Rattus norvegicus: one gene and its partner. The protein of the gene in region 1 purifies or fractionates together with the protein of each later gene. This does not show direct contact. Links are inferred from orthologs where the notes say so. Each region holds a gene or a part of one and is shown in the gene's direction. Other genes may lie near its edges.

What was found. The genes of interacting proteins can lie anywhere in the genome.
Region 2: the proteins of Josd2 (region 1) and Ahcyl1 purify together in Homo sapiens (affinity purification with mass spectrometry; 4 studies listed by BioGRID and IntAct, counting the BioPlex papers as one, with this or other methods). This does not show direct contact. The link is inferred for Rattus norvegicus from reciprocal best matches to the Homo sapiens genes JOSD2 and AHCYL1.

Annotation. Positions count from the first base shown.
Region 1 is NC_086019.1:104,094,081-104,101,051, forward strand, and holds the start of Josd2 (josephin-2), read left to right. Parts: upstream 1-3,479; 5' UTR 3,480-3,557; coding exon of another isoform or gene 3,558-3,599; intron 3,600-3,761; coding exon of another isoform or gene 3,762-3,819; intron 3,820-4,199; coding exon of another isoform or gene 4,200-4,216; coding exon 4,217-4,362; exon of another isoform or gene 4,363-4,406; intron 4,407-5,967; coding exon 5,968-6,093; intron 6,094-6,643; coding exon 6,644-6,838; intron 6,839-6,944; coding exon 6,945-6,971. Other genes in the region: Aspdh (aspartate dehydrogenase domain-containing protein), read left to right, coding at 923-986, 1,520-1,664, 1,899-1,983, 2,073-2,222, 2,301-2,521, 2,595-2,749, 3,055-3,098. UniProt on the Homo sapiens protein: Cleaves 'Lys-63'-linked poly-ubiquitin chains, and with lesser efficiency 'Lys-48'-linked poly-ubiquitin chains (in vitro). May act as a deubiquitinating enzyme.
Region 2 is NC_086020.1:197,980,012-197,986,650, reverse strand, and holds the end of Ahcyl1 (S-adenosylhomocysteine hydrolase-like protein 1), read left to right. Parts: coding exon 1-63; intron 64-1,804; coding exon of another isoform or gene 1,805-1,929; exon of another isoform or gene 1,930-2,331; coding exon 2,332-2,435; 3' UTR 2,436-4,307; downstream 4,308-6,639. UniProt on the Homo sapiens protein: Multifaceted cellular regulator which coordinates several essential cellular functions including regulation of epithelial HCO3(-) and fluid secretion, mRNA processing and DNA replication.

The DNA of each region.
Region 1 (6,971 bases):
GGCCCTGTCTCCTTCCCCATCCGGCTCCTCTCTGTTGATGGAGTCTGGGACAGAGCTGTTGCGCATGCACTTTAGGCTCTCCATCTTTTCTGCTTTCTCTGCAACCATCTCGGCTAGGATCCTGGTTACCATGGCAACACTGCGGCTGAACCAGGTGGCAATGGGGGCAGGGAGCTGGCCTGCTGCAGCCTGCCATGTCCCATGCCAGGCCTGCCAGCCAGTGGCTGGGCTCATCCTAGGGACACTTAGCGACTCCCCCACCCACGCATGTCCCTTCCTCATGGATGGGATAGGAGGCAGGAGAGGGGGCAGGGGACCAGGATACAGATAGGCAGGAGATTGTGGCCTCAAGGTGGGATGAATGGTGAACAGTTAAGGTGAGCTCAAGGGCAATTAGACATTGGAGTGAGGGAGGGGACTCCAGCCAAGACTGAGGGGCATGGAGGACTGGGAAAGACAGGACACGGGTGGAACATGCAGGAACACATACATTCCAGCCAGACCTTTCCACTTAGACTTTAGAGGAGAAAGGAAAGATGAGAGGTCTGTAAGGGGCCTGGTGGAAGATCTAAGTTCCTGTCCCCAATTCTTCCCCTATCCCAAGCAAAATGCAGTCTCCATGACAACCTGCTGGCCAGCCTGAGGAAGGGGGATTGCAAAGGGAACTTTCTACCTCGGCAGGCATGGGAGAGTGTGGGCTTTACAGGAGGCAGTGGGGTAGTAAGCACACAGGGCCACACAAGGCTTCCAAGCCACCATGCCAGCCAGCACAGGAGGGCAAAGGGCTCAAAAAGGACACACATCCCCATTCTGCTCCCTCCTCAGTGGACAGAGTCAGGGTCAAAGTCCAAAGATCATTCACTGCTCAGGCCTGGTAAAGGGGCCAGCAAGCACAGCAGATCCCCACAGCAGGATAAAGGCCATGGACGCTAGTATGGTCCCTCGAGTTCCTCACAAGGTGGGGGTGGTGGGCTATGGCCGCCTCGGTAAGAGCTAGCCTGGGGCCTCCTTCTATGCCCCTGTTCCTAAAGTTCTAGAAACATCTCTGCTCCCACATATCTTTCACCCCAGCCTGCCAGCCTAGCCTGCCTTCTGCCCACTCATTGGGCCTCCCTCCCTCCCTCCTTCTTCTCTCTGCCTCCCTCCCTCCCTCCCTTCTTTCCTCCTTCTCCCTCTCTCTCCCATTTCTGCCTTTCCTCTTGCTCTCATCTGTGTGCGTGCATGTGTGCGTGCGTGTGTGTGTGTGTGTGTGTGTGTGTGTGTGTGTGTGGTATTTGTCTTCTAGGTCTCTGTCTCTGTTTCTGTGTCTCTGTGTGTATGTGGTGGTGGGGGTGAATCTGTATCTCCCCAGCTCTCTAGGTTTCTATGTATTCTGTCTATGTGTCTGTCCATCTCTCCTCTCTGGGCTTCTGTGTATTCTGTATGTCTCTTTCTGGGTCTCTGTTCCCCCACTCCATCTCCCTGACTTGGGGAGTCTCTGTCCTTTTCTTGGGTCTCTCTAGCCCTCCCTTCTCTGCAGGACAGTCCCTTGTGTCCCGCCTTCTGGCTCAGGGATCAGAACTGGGCCTAGAACTTGTTTTTGTGTGGAACCGTGACCCTGGACGAATGGCAGGGAGTGTGCCCCCTGCCCTGCAGCTCGAAGACCTCACTACACTTGAGGAAAGGTCAGTGGCCCACAGAAGGAGCCTTCCCAAAGCTGCTTCTGCCTCTCTGTGTCATATAACTCTTTGACCCTTTCTGAGTCTCAGTGCACATACAAATAAACTAGAATGCACCCACCATCCCACGTCCCTTCCAAGTCAGGATGAGCACTGATGTTCCTGCAAACCCTGAGGAGCCTAGGAGACGGGAGACCTGATTCTTCTCCAGGCCCTCCCCCTCCATGTCTTTCTTCCCAGGCACCCTGACCTTGTGGTAGAAGTGGCCCATCCAAAAATAATCCATGAATCTGGGGTACAAATCCTCCGTCATGCAAACCTTCTGGTGAGCCTCCTCACCCCTCAGTGAGTCCCTCCCTGTGCTGGCTGCATCCCACCCTCCAGCAGTGATCTGGATCTTGGCCTTGTCCCAAGGTGGGATCCCCCTCAGCTCTCGCTGACCAGACCACAGAGCGGCAGCTCCTGGAGGCTTCAAACCACTGGGGCCACACGGTGTTTGTGGCCCGAGGGGCCCTGTGGGGTTGTGAAGACATCAGCAGATTGGATGCAGCCGGAGGCCTCCAGGTGAGAACCATCTGGGCTGCAACCAGAGGGAACATGTAGGAGTCTCTCTCACTCTTCTGACCCTGCCATTGCTTCCAGAGCCTTCGAGTCACCATGGCCACACATCCTGATGGCTTCCGGCTGGAGGGACCCCTGGCTGCCGCACATAGTAGTGGGCCCCGCACAGTGCTCTATGAGGGCCCTGTGCGTGGGCTCTGCCCCTTGGCCCCCCGAAACTCCAACACCATGGCAGCCGCTGCCCTGGCCGCTCCCAGTCTAGGCTTTGATCGTGTCATTGGGGTGCTTGTGGCTGACCTTAGGTGAGCAAAGGGAGTAGGTGGCATAGCTGTGTACACTCAGGATGAACTGACTGCTCTTCTCTGCTGACTGCAGCCTCACCGACATGCATGTGGTGGATGTGGAGCTGACAGGCCCCCCAGGGCCCACAGGCCGCAGCTTTGCCGTGCACACCCACAGAGAGAACCCAGCCCAGCCTGGCGCTGTCACTGGCTCCGCTACTGTTACAGCCTTCTGGCACAGCTTACTGGGTGCGGCCAGGCCCCTCCAACGGTCCCTTGGCGTTTGTGCTCTGCAGAACTCACGTGTTGGGTGTCCCACCCCAGTTTTCTGTCTTTGCCCATCCTTAGTTCTCACTCCCAGGCTTTATGAGCCTCTCTTTCCCCGCCCCGCTTTTTCTCAGCGTCTGGGTCCCCCTCTAGGTCTCTCTACCCACAAGGTACATCTCTGAGTATCCTCTTTGGGTTGTACCACATTACCATTTTCAAAACCCACGTTCACCATGGCCACCTGCATGTGTCTGTGTTGTCATCCTAGTTTTTCATTCTCCCCACAGGCTGCTGTCAGCTTCCCTCCAGACCTGGGATCCGCCTCTGCTGAGTTTCCTCCCCTACCCTTGCTGTCACCTTGACTACTATGGGTCCCAGTAAACATCAGAATTCTGCCCGCTGTTCTCTTTGGCCTCTTTGGTTCCTTGTCCCCACCTCCATGTCGTCACGCTTCGGCTACACACCGTGTATGACGCCATAGCAGCAGCGTGTGAGCTCATACACAAACCAGCCCCCTGAAAGCTATCGCGAGATCATTGGTTACTACATCTCCCAGGAACCTCTAGGCAGCAGTGGGTCCTGAGAGAGAACCAGAAAGGGCTGCGCCGTCCGATGGGAGTTGTAGTCCCATGTGGCAGAGCGGCCCCGGCGGACTTCCGGACTGAGCGTTCTATTTAGTCGCCCTACGGAGGCCTTCGGGAATCGCAGTCCGGCGCGCGCAAGTTGCCGGGAGCTGTAGTCCGTTCCGCCTGCTCAGTCAGCGTGGTACCACCCGAAAGCCGCCTAGGGAATGCGAAAGCGGCCGGTCCCAGGGAGCGGAAAGGCCGGCGGGGTGAGGGCCAGGCGGGCGCCGAGCAAAGTAGGGTGGGAGCGTGCCTGGTTGCCAGGTGACAGGAGGGGGAGTTCCTGTTGCTTAGTGACTGGGAGAGGGCCTTGTCAGGTGAAGGGAGGAGAGAACCCTGGTTATTGACAAGGGGAAGTCTTTCGTTGCTAGGCGACCAGAAGAGACCCTGTTACCCAGAGACGAGAAAGGAGGAGTCCTCCATTGCTAGGTGATCAGAAAACGGACCGGGTTACCAGGCGGGTGGGGTTGTTCTGTTGCTTGGGAACCAAAAAGGTATTGTTTCCTAGGGACAGAAGGGGCGATAGTCCGTTGCTAGGTGATGATGATCCAGACCCTTTTGCTTGGAGACATGTAGTGGGGGTGGGTCTCTATTGCCAGGACAGCAGATAGGAGTCTATACACCACCCACCCCAGGACTGGGCTCTAAAGGTGTCTCTGTGCTCTGGAGACAGCCTAGGAACAAGGCCTTGCGTCCTTTTAAGCTAGCAGCAGTGCCCACCTCAATGGCCATTGCATAGGGACACAGGAATCTAGAGACCCGGATGACCAAGATCCTAGGTGCCTAACACCTCCTTGTCCCACCCCTAGCAGGAGCTGAGGAGGGCATGTCTCAGGCGCCGGAAGCGAGACCAAGATCACCCTCAGTGTATCACGAGCGGCAGCGGCTAGAGCTGTGTGCCGTTCATGCTCTCAACAACGTCCTCCAAGAGCAGCTCTTTAGCCAGGAAGCTGCCGACGAAATCTGCAAGAGGTGACTGCCATTAGCCTGGCCCTGGAAGAGCAGAGCTCCAAGAGGCACGCCTATAGGGGGGCCAAGGGCTCAGATCCAGGAGCTGTTGCCTGCTCTTCCACCTGCTCTCCCACCTGCTGCTTCTCAAAACCTCAGCCCCAGCTTTGGCCTCAACCTCTCTTCTCTGAGCCTCTGTCACAACCTCCCAGCTGTCTGTTTTTCTCCTCCTACCCATCCTACACACAGCCCCCCAACTGCCTGCCCCCTCTTCTGCTTCTACCCCTCTTTGGCTCCCCAGCCCTCTTAGGGAGTAGCCCAGGGCCTTCAGGCTGAACTCCAAGGCCTTGGGTGCTCTGGTCTTTGTCTGCCTTTCTGCAGTTTCATCTAAACTGCTCTCCTAGGCCCCAACCAGGCTGTTCCCCTGTTACACAAGGCTTTTTTTTTTTTTTTCTTCTTGGTCATAGTTTTAGTCATCACTTTCTTTTTTTTTTTTTTTTTAAAGATTTTATTTATTGTATATGAGTACACTGTAGCTGCCTTCAGACACACCAGAATAGGGCATCAGATCTCATTACAGATGGTTGTGAGCCACCATGTGGTTGCTGGGATTTGAACTCAGGACCTCAGGAAGAGCAGTCGGTGCTCTTAACCACTGAGCCATCTCTCCAGCCCTAGTCATCACTTTCTTAAGAAACGTTCTTAAGAATCTCCCCATTCCAACCACTAGGCCACAGGGTACTTCTATGGGCACACAGACACCCCAGGCTGTAGTCCATGCCCACACCCAGAGGCAGACCTTATCCTCAAACTTTAGAAGATACTCATTTCCCCTGCACCAGCTCTTTGTCCAGGGGCATGCTGAACAGCTAGAGCTGAGGCAGATGTACTGAAAGGAGAAGCTGCAGACATGATTGGTTCCCTCCTGACACTGCTCACCGAGGGTCCAGACCTACAGAGGAACAGGGCCACAGAGCTGGGGAGAGCTAGAGGGAAGGCTTGGGCACAAGGGACAGCTGGAGACAGGTGGCTGCTAAGAGCTGGTACTGAGACTATGTAAGGCCTACTTGCCACTGGAGGAGGTGGGAGTGTGTCCTGGGACGATGGGGCACTAGGGAGGGCTCTGAGCAGGGTAGGGCAGGGTATTACCAAAAGAAAGAGGCTCTCTGTTTTCAGATATGGTGGTATGAGTGGCTCTGTCACCCAGGGACTCTGAGCACAGTCTGAAGGCTCCTCTCCCAGAAGAAATGACATCTGACACTGGTCTGGAGAGAGACCATGAGTGGGAAGGATGGAGGGGCAGGGACTTTGTCCAGGGTACTTGGGAGTCATAGAGAAGTGGAAGTAGGAAGGGGGCAGGGCAGCTCAGGGCTTCTGGAGGTCAGAGGTGGGCTGGAGGGAGAGACTAGAGGCTGGGAAGGGTTTCTGAGTTGGAAAAGATAAAAGCTTCAGCCAGTCCAAGAGTGCAGGGCTCGGGGGGTGGAGGAAGGACAGGATTCAAGGCCTGATAAGCTGTATGGGGGTTGAAGAGAGAAGCGTCAAAGGCTAGGCTATGGGCCTCTCCTATTATGTGGGAAGGTGGAGGCCTTTCCAGGATTTCAAACCTTGGCTCTGCCCCCTCACCCCCAGGCTAGCCCCAGATTCCCGGCTGAACCCCCATCGCAGTCTCTTGGGCACCGGCAACTATGATGTCAACGTGATCATGGCTGCCCTGCAGGGCCTGGGCCTGGCCGCTGTGTGGTGGGACAGGAGGAGGTAGGGCCTAGGCAGTGGGCTGCGCTGGCTCTGGGCGTGTGGGATGACACAGAGGGTGGCTTGAAGGTAGACAGGGGAGGGGTTTTGCCAGGGAGGCTATGACAGATGGGGTCTGACTGAATGGTGGGTTAAACTTATAAACTTGGTACCAGTCAAAAGGGTATCTAAATGAGCAACTCATGATTAAGGTGGGAAAGGCATACGTTAGGTCAAGAGCAGTGGAGCCAGCCTGGACTGCATGTGGAGATCCTGGCTCAAAGGGGCCAACAACAAAAAGTTGAGGAGCTGGGGCTGCATTGGCAGAAGGCCAACCCAGCAGATACGAGGTCAGGATTCCTACTCTATAACCTGCTGTAGTGCTGCACATCTGGGACACCTGAGACCCTGCCTAAACAAATGGAAGCTGGAGTTGACAGGTAGAGGGTAATAGGTCAGTGGGTGAATAGACAGTCAGTCATTCTGGGGAAGGAGGCAGGTTCCAAGTGCCTCTGTGACCCACAACCCAGACCTCAGTCTCTGGGGCCTCATGCTGTATCCCTCCCCTCCTCAGACCCCTGTCCCAGCTGGTCCTGCCCCAGGTACTAGGCCTGATCTTGAACCTACCCTCTCCTGTGTCGCTGGGGCTGCTGTCCCTGCCGCTGCGCCGGCGACACTGGGTGGCCCTGCGCCAGGTGGACGGCATCTACTATAATCTGGACTCAAAGCTACGGGCACCTGAAGCCCTGGGGGGCGAGGATGGTGTCAGGTGAGTGGTGAAGGCAGTGACAGGATGGGACAACACTGGAACTGCCCTGCAGGGAGATGGACCTGCCTGGGCTGCTGAGACCTCAGTCTTCCCACTTTCCCCTCAGAGCCTTCCTGGCAGCTGCCTTGGCTCA
Region 2 (6,639 bases), on another chromosome or scaffold:
AACTTTATAATGCACCAGAAGGACGCTACAAACAGGATGTGTACTTGCTTCCTAAGAAAATGGGTGAGTGAAAGCTGAAGCCAGCGCTGACCGCAGTTGGCTGCATGGTTTTATAAAATGGCTTCCCTAGAGCACTAGCTGTCGAGTCAGGGTTCTGATTGTTCTCCTAGTGCCTGGCCTCAGGGGACATTCTATTAGCGATGTGAGCCTCCATTTTTGTGAGAAGTAAGGTAAGAATAGTACTGTGTAGTTTACAGGATTGTAGTAAGAATCCAAGCTAAATACGGATGATGTTCTTGTTCTCAAGTACCCTTCCAAAGCTCACCAGGCTTCCCAGGGCAACTAACTATAGCTTAGACCAAAGTGAGAGAAACAGAAACAAGGCGTATTATCCATCTGTTGTCTTGATTGGCAAACCTCCTCTAACCCAACCTATGCGCCTCATGACCACTTACACTTTGCTCATGTGGCATAAACTCTGTCTTGTCCTTTGCTTTTCTCTATACTGACACCCGCCCCATACTTACAGCCAGCCTACATGTCTGACTTTACACTTAAAAAACTTGCATATTGGGGAGATGCTAGTGGTTAAGAACACTTGCTACTTTTGCAGAAGACCCAGGCTCAGGTCCCAGCACCCATTTAATGTCTCACAACTATTTTGTGCTGGGTAAGAGACTCAGTGCCTTCTTCTGGGTTCAATGAGCAGCAGGCACAGATGTGGTCCAAATATATACATACAGGAAAACATGCATACACATAAATTTTTCTTAACTTATTTTATATTGCTTTTGGATATTCTGTTGTTGTTGTTGTTGTTGTTGTTGTATATTTTTTATGTGTATGGGTGTTTTGGCTACATGTATATGTGACCACAGGCATGCCTGTTGCCTGTCAAAGCCAGAAGAGGGTATCAAATACCTGGAACTGGATTTATAGATGGTTTAAGCTGACATACAAGTCCTGGAAATCAAACCCAGGTCTTCTAAAAGAACAGCTGCTGAATTATGTCTCTACTGTGTAGTGTTTGTTGTTGTTGTTGTTTTAAGAAATCATATTCATAAAAGTTAGGGAACGATACTTAGTATGTGCCTTAGAAATCTTATCAGGAGTTGGGGATTTAGCTCAGTGGTAGAGCGCTTGCCTAGGAAGCGCAAGGCCCTGGGTTCGGTCCCCAGCTCCGAAAAAAAAGAACCAAAAAAAAAAAAAAAAAAATTATAAGAGTCTTTTGGGTTGGGGATTTAGCTCAGTGGTAGAGCGCTTGCCTAGGAAGCGCAAGGCCCTGGGTTCGGTCCCCAGCTCCGAAAAAAAGAACCAAAAAAAAAAAAAAAAAAAAAAAAAAAGAAATCTTATCAGTCTAAATATGTGGCTATAGGGAGCCTGTCTTAAATAAATGTCAGTGACAGGAGGCTCTTTTAAGTGTGTTAGATTCATCTTTATGGTTCATGATTTGATGATGGTTTAATATAGTTAAGGAGGCTGCCACAGGAAGCTGGGTGTAGTGTGTGACATGGTACCTACTCAAGTGACGCCAAACTCTGAGGAGGAAGTACAAGGCACCCATTCGCCAATCGGGTGCATGACCATCTGCTTGCCCAGTATATGTGCTTGAAAGACATCATTTCCTATATATACAGCTTGGAAAGCTTTCTTAATTAAACACATATTTCAGGTTGTGGATTCGTTCAGGGTTGTTCCACTGCTCTTCCTGAGTAGTTTTAAGAAATGAAAATAGGAGGGAGGCTGTGCCCTAACGGCCTGTCTGACAAGAAGCCTCCTGCCCTTACTGCTCTTCTCTTCCCAGATGAGTATGTTGCCAGCTTGCACCTGCCATCATTTGATGCCCACCTCACAGAGCTGACAGATGACCAAGCAAAATATCTGGGACTCAACAAAAATGGGCCATTCAAACCTAATTATTACAGGTAACTTGGAAGAAAGCAATGAAAAGTTCTTCCCCAATATTAGACCAGCCAGTCTAGTCTAGCCAGGTTTCTTCAGTAAAGATACGTGTCATGTGTGATACCTAAGAGTATAAGGCCACCACTGCAGGTTAGCAGGAATGACTGGGTTATTCAGGATTGCGTGCTTGCCTAGTATAGTGAGGTTCAGTCCCCACCTCTACAGAAAACCAAATTAGCAAGGTAGTCAGAGAAAGTGTGAATCCACCAATAGATGTAAGGAGCTAAGTGTCTTAAGGTCTTAGAAGGTGAGCCTCACCTCAGGAGGAACCCACGCAGGAATGCCCCCAGTTTGGGCTGGGAGGAAGCTTGGGAAGATGCTGTGTTGATCTCAGAAAGTACGTTAACAGGCCCATCTCTCTCTTTTCAGATACTAATGGACGTATTACAATGACCAGTCCACACGAACCACGCAACTCTAATAGAGTATTTTTTAAGATAACTTTTATTTTCTTCTTATTACTTTCCTTTTGATTTTTTTTTCTATAATTTCATTTTTTTTCTCATCTCATCATTTGAGTTTTGCAGACCACACAGGAACTTGCTCCATGGCTGTTTAGGTGAAACTGAGGTCAAAGGTTTCTCACCTTTAGTCACTAAAAGGGGTTAATTCTGCAGCCCAGAAAGTCAATTCTTTAACCATTTCTGGGGACTTTGATCGCATTTAGTTACCATATTAACAGAAAATGCTAAGGCATCTTCTGTGTGGAACAATCTACAGTGTCTAAATTGCCTTAAAAGAGACTGTTCTAGCTGCTGGAACTAGTGCTCTTTACTTCTTCAGAGGAGCCAGGATGGCTCCAGCCAGGTAGGTTAGACGTAGGTGGTGCATGTCAACTTCCCGTAGACAGACGCTCTAAGCCGTTTCCTGTCTAAGATGGCGTGTCTGCAGAGATGTGTGCTGTTAAACTCCGTAGGCTCACTCGGATTTGTAGTTCAGCCCTTCCACCAGTCTCTCTCATTGTTCTAGTTTTAACTAAACTGCATTCTATCAAGTTGAATTTTGTCCCTTAGCATTTATTTGTTTTGTTTCTTTTAATTAAGGAAAAATTTTAGTGTTAATCCTGAGGAACAGCTCAGGTGGTTAGTTACCAATATCTCTTTTGAACCTTTGAAGCAAAGTGTCAAGAGTTGAGGCTAGAAAAATGCTAGCCTCAGACTCTGATGTTTCCAGCTCATAGTTTATAGTGTCAGTGAACTGGAGCCATAAGCAAAACTTCTCAGCTCTGCCTCACGCAGCTTATGCTGACGGCCGATTTCTTGAGCCATTACTCAGTATAAAACACTGAGCCCTGTCCTTAGGGTTTATCCTTTCAGAGCAAACCTGTGGGCAGCTGTGCTTCTGCAACCTAAACTGTTTGAAGGGAAGTTTGCATAGATGGAAGAAAGAATGACAAATTGGGCCAAGGTGAAACAAATATAACTGTATAATCTGTTCAGAGCTGGAGACCTTGTCTGCTGTTAGTTTTATAGACATGGTGCCACTTTTGATTGACACTTGCCACAAAAATAGAAAATAAAAATTGTAAACTGAGATCTTAAAGACTTGGTGGAGAAAGTACATCCTGATTCATGCTCTAAGAGAATTCCAAGAGACCCTCTAAAATCAGAGAGACTTATTCCCAGGCCACGCACCCGCTTGCCAGCATCTCTGCATGGTCAAACGAGCTTCAAGCTCAAGCTTTAGGTATATAATTATCCGGGATTTTAAGTCCTCAGCGTGTTCTAGCTTGTGATCCTTCAAAGATGGGTTATGTGTTAATGATAGATACTGGAAATGTTTACTTCTCTCTTTCACTGATCAGAGAAACAGGCATTAAAAACAGAAATACAAGAAAGGAAAGCTTTTACCCTGCACCTTCCTTGCAGGGAACAATTATCTTGCCAAAACTTTTTTCCCTTTCATCTCCCATTTCTCTGTACCCAGCCCCTTCCTGCTCCTTTCCAATGTGATCATGCTTTCTTCTCTATAGATACTAACATTTGAAGACCCCTTTCCTAAGGCACTTAACCATCCAATCAGAACACCACACTCAGTAGGGCCTTATCTTGGCTAACAGCAGTGTATTCATCTGGTCAGCTCTACTGGAGGGAAGGGGCCAAGTTCCTGCTGCCCTCTAATCTGCCCTCTGGTCCTATCTATTACTGTGTCCATAGGAATAATAGGTAAGGGCTAGTCTCTGTCAAGCCATGTAACAAAGGACACTGGAAAATGTCTGGCATCAGAGGGAACATTTGGAGACCAACTTGGGAGGAAAATATTCATTTTGTATTGAATGATTTTTAATGAATGCAATATTAATCCTTGCAGATGAGCAATAATCATTAAAGTCAATTAAAAGTGATAAGACATAATGGTAGTCCTGTGTCTTTTTTGGTTAAATAGCAAAACTTCATTAGACTGTTTCCTAGGTTGAGATAAGCCATTTGAAGACAAGGTCTGTCTTATGTAAGCTGGCCTCAGACTTCTTGGATCAAGTCATCCTGACTCAATCTTCCCAGTAGCTGGGACTATAGCATTACACCAGTGCACCCAACTATCATTAATGTCTCGAGTTGCAATCTGTGTGTAGGTCACTGTTGAGTGGCACTGGAGCCTTTAGGAGATAGGACCTAATGAGAGGTGCTTAGGTCACTGGAAGTGTGACCTTGAAAGGAATGGTATGCCATCGCCCACTGTTGTTTTTATGTCCTAGCAGTGAGGTGAGCAGTTTTGTTTCCACCTTGAATTTTTGTCTTACTGTTCTGCCTGACATAGACCCAAAGTAATGTGGCCAGTCAGTCATGAACTGAAACCTGCCTTCAGCACCATAAGCCAAAATATTTTTATCTTTATGAGTTAATTATTTTGGTATTCACCATCGTGATGGACAGCTGACTAGTGCATATGGATGTTGATCTGAATTCTTGCTGCTGTAAAAGAGCCGGCGATGTCTCAACTGATAAAAGTTCTTGCCTTGTAAATATGAGGACGTAAATTTCCTTCCCAGAACCCAAGTAAAAACTGTGGGGTGTGTTGGCACATACTTGTACATATGTCCCAGCTCGGGGGGACAGACAAGGAGGCTTGCTGGCACTCACTAGCTAGGCAGTGCAGCCTAATTGGTGAGCCCCAGGCCAGTGAGCTGCCCTGTCTTGAAGGAGGAGAATTCTGCACCTAGGATTATTCTCTGGCCAACAGATGCACACGTATTTATGTAGGTAAACCTGCATACATGCACACACATCAAACAACTTGTGAAACTGGGCATTCTATAGAGGACAGAAATGTACTCTCAACATGGAGGCTGAGATGGCCAGGATGAAGTAGTCAGCAGACTAATGATGACAGGCTGTTCTCTGCTTCCAAGACTGGCATCATCACAATGAGAATCCATCAAGATCTAACACTTACCCTATTCCATTCAAATGATGTAATAATTTGTAATATCACATTGGTGAATCATTTTCAACTAATGAATTGAAAGGAGTACATTCAGGCCACAGCATTCTGCCCCAGCCTCCAAAATCCATGGGTTGTTTGATTGGTTAGTTGGTTGGTCTTTTCTTTTTTTCGGAGCTGGGGACCGAACCCAGGGCCTTGCGGTTGCTAGGCAAGCGCTCTACCTCTGAGCCAAATCCCCAACCCCGGTTTTTTCTTTTTTTAGATTTAATTATATGAGTACATTGTAGCTCTTCAGACACACCAGAAGAGGGCATCAGATCTCATTACAGATGGTTGTGAGCCACCATGTGGTTGCTGGGAATTGAACTCTGGACCTCTGGAAGGGCAATCAGTGCTTTTAACCACTGAGCCATCTCTCCAGCACAGTTGGTTGCTTTTTAATCTAGAAAATAATCTAGTAGTTCCAAGTTTTAATTTCAGCACCAGCTCTAAGGTCTAAATCCAGAGGCTCATCAAAATCAGATATGTAATCACGTGGTGGCTCACAATGATCTGTATAATAGAATCTTGGAATGCAAGAGTACGTGCAGAGAGAACACTCACACAGAACAAAACCTGAAGGCTTGCTCTGATCAGCTGTACTCTAAATGAAAGTGTATCCCATCCTTGTTGCTCCCACTATTGTGAATCTCTCTTAAGGGCTCACAGGTAAAAACTGGTCCTGTCGCCCTAGGAAGACGTCTCTTCAAAAGGAACTATAGAAGCCAATTATCAGAAAAGTAGTATGAGTAAAGGCTTCTTCCTGGGAGTCCTCTTGGTTTTCTAGTTTTTCTTAACTGGCTTTTCTGTTGCAAGTCACCCTAGCCCACATCACCCTGAATTAACCTCTTTCTAAATCAGGTTATCCCAGTTCTCCCTAACACACAAATGATGAAATAATACTGTCTACATCCTCCTCACCTGTTACAGTTTGGACTTTCCCCATAGGCTTGTGTGTCTGAACACTGGCTCTGTAGCTGGTAGCACTATGTCGGGAGATGGCAAAACCTTTGGGGCATGAGCTCTAGTTATTGTCTGTGAGTGACTGTAGCAAACCTTTGGGGTAATTTGCCAAGATAGCAGGCACTTCTCTGTCATGTGTTCTGACAAGGTGCCTAGGTGTTGGACTGAAGCCATGAGTGGAGATCAGTCTTTCCTTATGTTGCTTCTGCCTGGTGTCTTGTCACAGAATGGAGAGAGAAATAAAATGATGTTGATGTGATGATGGTGATGATGATGATAAATAATGCTTCC